Linked DNA regions of Sus scrofa. Each later gene encodes a partner of the first gene's protein in a complex. Links are inferred from orthologs where the notes say so. Each region holds a gene or a part of one and is shown in the gene's direction. Other genes may lie near its edges.

Region 1 (3,652 bases):
GGAGCACAATGGCATGGATTCAGTAGGTAACAGCATTTCACTTTGATGTGTCACAGATTTAGTCAATTTGCCTCTTGAAAGAAGAGTGGGTACACACTATGAATTATCTAGGCTAAATATCAATAAGAGCCTCTAGTGGGGAGCTCTGTACAAATCAGTTTTGTGGAAGAGCATTGGATTAAGAGTTAGAGGACTGGAGTTCAAGCCTATCTTTTCTCTTCGTAGCTGTGACCCCAGGTAAGAAATCACTTAGCCCCTTAGAGTCTCTGTTTTCAGGTCTGTTAAGCAAGGATAATTGCCTTGCTTACCTAACAAAATATAACATGAAAAATATTTAAAATGCTTTACAGACTGATGACTTGTTAGGCAAATATGAGAGATTATTCTTAGGATATTCATGAGTGCTGTCTTACTGCCCCAAGTAAGAGTTGTACAGACCTTTTGGGCTTTCTGAGTAGTTTTCAGATGTATCCTCCTGGGGCATCTTTTGAAACTATGGTTCCTGGGGGTGAACAGAGCATCTGTGGGATTCTGACTCTTTGCTCTTTGTGTTTAGGCCACAATGAAGATCTGCCCTCACACAGACATTTCCGTCGTGACACCCCAGATGCATCACCTCCTAGGAGGGCTCGTCATGACACCCCAGATTCATCACCTCCGGGGAAGGTCCGCCATGACACTCCAGATTCATCGCCTCCTAGAAGGGCTCGTCATGATTCCCCAGATCCATCACCTCCTAGGAAGGTCCACCATGACACACCAGATCCATCACCTCCTAGGAGAGCCCGTCATGACACACCAGATCCGTCACCTCCTAGGAGAGCCCGTCATGATACACCAGATCCATCACCTCCTAGGAGAGCCCGTCATGACACACCAGATCCATCACCTCCTAGGAGAGCCCGTCATGATACACCAGATCCATCACCTCCTAGGAGAGCCCGTCATGATACACCAGATCCATCACCTCCTAGGAGAGCCCACCGCAGTTCCTCAGATATCTCTCCTCCCAGAAGGGCCCGTAATCGCTCCCCTGACACAGTTCAACCTAGAAGGACTCTTGATTCCATGGACACATCGCAGCTGAGGAGGGCCCGTCATGATTCCCCTGACTTGGCTTCTAGTGTCCCTCATTCACTGCCCAGAACCAAAAGCAGTACAGCCCCAGAAAGAGCGTCTAGCCAAGCTTCTCCCCATTGGAAGGGGCCAGGACCATCTCATCCATCACTCCCAAAGAACAGCAAGCAGGAGTGTGATTCAGACCTCTCTCCTCCACGAAAAAAGCAAGCAAAATCCCATTCTGGAAATAAGCAACATGACTCTAAAGGTGAGCATTTGACTGTCCATAGGAAGGACTTAACTCCCTAGGCACTTTCTTTTGGGCCTTTTAGTTCCTTTTTAGGTATTTGTGATCTTTAGAAATGAGAATGGAGCATTGGAGAAGTTTTAAAAACTGGAGGGAGGAGTTCCTGTCGTGGCACAGTGGTTAACGAATCCAACTAGGAACCATGAGGTTGCGGGTTCGATCCCCGCCCTTGCTCAGTGGGTTAACGATCCAGCATTGCCGTGAGCTGTGGTGTAGGCCACAGACATGGCTCGGATCCCGAGTTGCTGTGGCTGTAGTATAGGCCAGCGGCTATAGCTCCAATTAGACCCCTAGTCTGGGAACCTCCATGTGCTGCGGAAGTGGCCCTAGAAAAGGCCAAGAGACAAAACAAACAAACAAAAAAAACCGAACAAAACTGGAGGGAAATCATGAGAGGTTGGGCTGAGGAGAGTTAAAAATTTATAGTAGCAGAGAGGAGGGTTTTATATATTCTTTTGTTTATTCTCCCCACCCCATATAAGAATACTGCATATTCATTGCAGAATGTATAGAAATGTATAAAGAAGTAGAAAAAGGTCATACAAAATTCTGTCATTCAGAGGCAGTCACTGCTAGTGTTGTAATCTGTGTTCTTTTAGTTTTTTTTGTTTTTTTTCTATTCATTTTTTATGTGGTCGAGGTCTGTCTAGGCAGTAAATACATATTGCATGTGTAATCTTGTCTGTTTTTTTTTTTTCCCTTAACATTATCTTCCTCATGTCATAAAATATCTCATTAATATAATTTTTGTTGGTATTCTGTTACATAAATTTACCATTTCCTTAATACTGCATATTTGAGGTTGTTTCTGCACCTTTTCTTCTATAATTCTATAATCAACATCCTTATGCATAAACTATTGCCCTGTTCTGGATTATTTCCTTAATAATACTTCTAGATTGATCTCCTGGAAATCAAAGTACTTCCAAATATGTTTCCTTAGAAATTAAGTAGAAATTGATTTACTGGGTCAGAGGGTCAGGGTCCTATGCTTTTAGGACTGTTGACACCTGTTGCAGATTGCTTTTTGGGGGAGGTGATTTGTAGTTTTTTGCTTTTGTTTTCTTTTCTTTCTTTTTTTTTTTTTTTTTTTTTTTTGTCTTTTTGCCATTTCTTGAGCCACTCCCGCAGCATATGGAGGTTCCCAGGCTAGGGGTCAAATCGGAGCTGTAGCCACTGGCCTATGCCAGAGCCACAACAATGCGGGATCCGAGCTGCGTCTGTGACCCACACCACAGCTCACGGCAACGCAGGATCCTTAACCCACTGAGCAAGGCCAGGGATCGAACCCGCAACCTCATGGTTCCTAGTTGGATTCATTAACCCCTGCGCCATGACGGGAACTCCTTGCTTTTGTTTTTTTAATGGCTGCACCCAAGACATGTGGAAGTTCCCAGGCCAGGGATTGAATCCAAGCCACAGCTGTGAACTACTCTGCAGCTGTGGCATGGCAACACTGAATCCTTTAACCCACTGTGTCAGGCCAGGGATTGAACTCGTGCCTCCACAGCAACCTGAGCTGTTGCAGTGGGATTCTTAACCTACTGCACCACTGCAGGAACTCTTTGGGGGTGATTTGTGATGTCTACAACTCAGGCCTGTGCAGTGAGATTTGTTTACTCTTTTGTCCCAAGGCACTGTTTTAATTTTATTTTTTTTGCTTTTTAGGGTCACATGTGTGGCATATGGAAGTTCCCAGGCAAGGGGTCGAATCGGAGCTGCAGCTACCAGCCTATGCCAGAGCCACAGCAACACCAGATCTAAGTCACATCTGCAACCTATACCACAGCTTACAGCAATGTCGGATCCTTAACCTACTGTGCGAGGCCAGGGATCAAACCCATGTCCTTATGGATACTAGTTGGGTTCATTACCACTGAGCCACAGTGGGAACTCCCCTGTTTTAATTTTTAAATTCAGATACATTGTTATCCTTTAGTCTGAGGACATCAGAATATATTCTAGGCCATTTTAACTTTTACCATGCTGCTGAGACCTGAGTGCAGTTTGTTTTGCTCACTCTGTGTGGATAAATATGGCACAGAGGAGTATGTTGAGATATTACATGCCAGTCACAGTCATTATAACTTGAGACTAGAATCCCACATCCTGCCTGTTGGTTTTAAAAGTTGTCTCTGATTTCGATTTTCTCTCCCATGTCATTTGTACTTGTATTTAGGTTAGTGATCGTTTGTCACAGGAGGACTAAATGAATGCTGAACATTAGCCTGACTTAAAGCCTATATTCTTTAATTTTTAGGCTCTTCCCCCAGACATAGGAAATGT
Region 2 (3,752 bases), on another chromosome or scaffold:
CTCTCATTTCACAATAGCCTGAAGAATCCATCCAGATAATGCTGCATGCTAGTTTACCACTTTGCAGTGACTACTTCAACCCTACAACTAAGCAACCTAAGGTTTCTAGGAGCAGATAAAACCTGTATGCAATCTGTCACTGTTTAGTTTTCATTGCCAAGGTAATTCTACAAAGTTAATGAATAGCTGGGTTGGAAGTGGGGGAGGGGGACAGACACAAAAACTGTCATTGGTGGGCAGCCTGTTCTGCTTCTTGGGAAGACATTGGGTACATGGTGAACCATTGAGGGTACAGTTGTCACTGTCACCATCATCAAAGTGCTTTTAATTTCTGGGGCTGTGAGCTAGGCCTACACAGAGAACTATACAGCCCCATAATTTGACTTTGACATAATTTGCATGGTCTAAGGCCAGAATTGATGTGGACACATGCAAGATGGATTTGAATCTTCAGAATGGCTTAATTCACACATTACATGCCATCATCTCTTCTACAGGTTCCTGATTATTTCTGGAGTCAAATCTATCAAGCCCTGTCTCCTCAATGATATTATTAGCTCTTTGAAGGCAGAGAACCCAACCTTACATTCCCATCTGCAGACTTACTGTATAGGACAAATACAGATGCTCAGTAAGGACCGATAAATCAAGTGGATCTGATGGATAGAGACAGAGTACCATCCAAGTTATTTAACTCCTTTAAACTCAGTTTCTGCTACGAAACGGGGAGGATAATTGTATCTAAGCCTTCACAGGAGGGCCAATACATGTAAATTGCTTAGCACACAATCTATCATTACCTGCTCAACTGTTAGTTATTAATTTAACAATACCAATTCCTACCTCCTGCTTGAGTAGCAGACAGACTATGGAAAACGGTTAGCAGCATTCACACAAATCTGGGTATTCAATTCAGCCTATGGAGGCACAGTGGTCAGTTGCCTATGCGGTGCGATTTGAGACAAAAAGATTTACCCTCTCACACAGCTTTTTCACATTTCTGCTGTAACTCCTGAACAGGGATGCTTTCATGGCGGTGTGCGTGTGAGTAATTGGCTGGGAGTTAAGGACAGAATGAGGATTTGCACTGGAAGAGAAGGATGGGACTCAAGTCGCCGTTATCAGGCACCTCTCAAAGTCTTCCTTCAAAAAACATTTATAGTTAACCCAATAAATGCCAGGCATCGTTTAGGAGTTCGGAGTCCTGTAACAAACCAGGCTCGCACCCTCGTCCAACTCCAAGCACGGTGGAAGCGAGGGTCTACAGAAAAAGAGCGACATCGGCGGAACAAGAGAAGCCGCTTACTGACGTAGTGCGCAGGCGCCACGCCCCAGCGCGGCCCGGCTCTTCCGGCGCGGCGTAAGCGCGCAGCTGAGACCAATGGGCGCGCAGCGCCGGGTCGCGCATGCGTCTTGCAGCCTCTCCCGGAAGTCGCTTCCTAGGTGCTGAGGGCGAACCCGCGGAGATGAAGTAAGGCCTCAGGTTCCTTTTGGGAAAAGGGGACAGGCGGCCGGGGGTAGTTCACTGAAGCTGGAGTGGTAGAGCACTTGTGAGGCTGAGGAGCGGGGGAGGCGCAGATACTAGAAAATTAGTCTCCCAGTTTTGCTCTCCTTTACCTCAGGCTAGGCCGCGCTTACTTGTCCGCTTTTCCGCCCCTTGTGCAGCCCTTTAACTAAAGTGAAGCTGATCAACGAGCTGAATGAGCGTGAGGTCCAGCTGGGGGTGGCGGAGAAGGTGTCTTGGCACTCCGAGTACAAGGACAGCGCCTGGATCTTCCTAGGTGAGGCCCACATCTTTCTCCCGCAGGGCTTCTCATTCTCTCCTGGCCTGCCTCCTAACATTTCAGCATTCCCGCCCATCATTCCTCCCGACATTCATCACCCACTTTTATTTACTTCCACTGTCGGCCTATAAATCCGTTTTCCAGGTCGCTTTTCTAGCTCATTTCTAGTTTGCTCTCGCTGCCAAATCAGCGTTCATGATAGGTACTGCCTGCCATTCAGTGTGCTAAGAATCGTGCCGTTTGGTTTCTCAGAGACTGTTATTATCATCCTCTTGTCCTCTAGTTATACACCTAAGGAAACTGAGATGCAGAAAAGTTAATGGACTTCCTTCAGGTCGCATAGCTAGCAAGTGGAACAGCAAGAACTGTGGGGTTTGAGAACTCCTGGTATCAGCCACTATCCGGTATTACTGCCAACTCCCTCTCCCTTCATTACCCTTCACGCAGAATTTATTTCCCCGTCCATGGCCACATCATCATTTCCATATTCACTGTGTCACATTCTGTAATTTGACAGTTTATTCGAAGAGATTATTACAACAGACATTGTGCTAGGCACTTTATAGCCATTGTTTTATTTTCATTCTTATTACAATTCTGTGAGGTAAGTGCCAATATCCCCATTTTACAGATGAAGAAGGAAACATTCGTAGGGGAATTTATTTCCTATGAAATCCTTAACAATTGTGAGGTGGGGTTAATATTTTTTTTTTCCCACTGTACAGCAAGGGGATCAGGTTATCCTTACATGTATACATTACAATTACATTTTTCCCCCACCCTTTCTTCTTTTGCAACATGAGTATCTAGACAAAGTTCTCAATGCTATTCAGCAGGATCTCCTTGTAAATCTATTCTAAGTTGTGTCTGATCAGCCCAAGCTCCCGATCCCTCCCACTCCCTCCCCCTCCCATCAGGCAGTCACAAGTCTCTTCTCCAAGTCCATGGTTTTCTTTTCTGAGGAGATGTTCATTTGTGCTGGATATTAGATTCCAGTTATGAGTGATATCATATGGTATTTGTCTTTGTCTTTCTGGCTCATTTCACTCAGTATGAGATTCTCTAGTTCCATCCATGTTGCTGCAAATGGCGTTATGTCGTTCTTTTTTATGGCTGAGTAGTATTCCATTGTATTCCATAGTATTCCACATCTTCCAAATCCAATCATCTGTCGATGGACATTTGGGTTGTTTCCATGTCCTGGCTATTGTGAATAGTGCTGCAATGAACATGTGGGTGCACGTGTCTCTTTTAAGTAGAGTTTTGTCCGGATAGATGCCCAAGAGTGGGATTGCGGGGTCATATGGAAGGTCTGTGTATAGATTTCTAAGGTATCTCCAAACTGTTCTCCATAGTGGCTGTACCAGTTTACATTCCCACCAACAGTGCAGGAGGGTTCCCTTTTCTCCACAGCCCCTCCAGCACTTGTTCTTTGTGGATTTATTAATGATGGCCATTCTGACTGGTGTGAGGTGATATCTCATGGTAGTTTTGATTTGCATTTCTCTTATAATCAGCGATGTTGAGCATTTTTTCATGTGTTTGTTGGCCATCTGGATATCTTTGGAGAAATGTCTATTCAGGTCTTTTGCCCATTTTTCCATTGCTTGATTGGCTTTTTTGCTGTTGGGTTGTATAAGTTGTTTATATATTCTAGAGATTAAGCCCTTGTCGGTTGCATCATTTGAAACTATTTTCTCCCATTCTGAAAGTTGTCTTTTTGTTTTCTTTTGGGTTTCCTTTGCTGTGCAAAAGCTTTTCAGTTTGATTAGTTCCCATTGGTAAATTTTTGCTCTTATTTCTATTGCTTTGGGAGACTGACCTGAGAAAATATTCATGATGTTGATGTCAGAGAGTGTTTTGCCTATGTTTTCTTCTAGGAGTTTGATGGTGTCCTGTCTTACATTTAAGTCTTTCAGCCATTTGGAGTTTATTTTTGTGCATGGTGTGAGGGTGTGTTCTAGTTTC

The links. Proteins that work in one complex are often made in the same cells at the same time.
Region 2: BUD13 (region 1) and RBMX2 share a complex: the UniProt entries of both Homo sapiens proteins name them as parts of the activated spliceosome. The link is inferred for Sus scrofa from reciprocal best matches to the Homo sapiens genes BUD13 and RBMX2.

The regions. Positions count from the first base shown.
Region 1 is NC_010451.4:44,148,346-44,151,997, reverse strand, and holds part of BUD13 (BUD13 homolog), read left to right. Parts: intron 1-556; coding exon 557-1,327; intron 1,328-3,626; coding exon 3,627-3,652. UniProt on the Homo sapiens protein: Involved in pre-mRNA splicing as component of the activated spliceosome. As a component of the minor spliceosome, involved in the splicing of U12-type introns in pre-mRNAs.
Region 2 is NC_010461.5:106,879,481-106,883,232, forward strand, and holds the start of RBMX2 (RNA binding motif protein, X-linked 2), read left to right. Parts: upstream 1-1,431; 5' UTR 1,432-1,466; coding exon 1,467-1,471; intron 1,472-1,665; coding exon 1,666-1,781; intron 1,782-3,752. UniProt on the Homo sapiens protein: Involved in pre-mRNA splicing as component of the activated spliceosome. As a component of the minor spliceosome, involved in the splicing of U12-type introns in pre-mRNAs.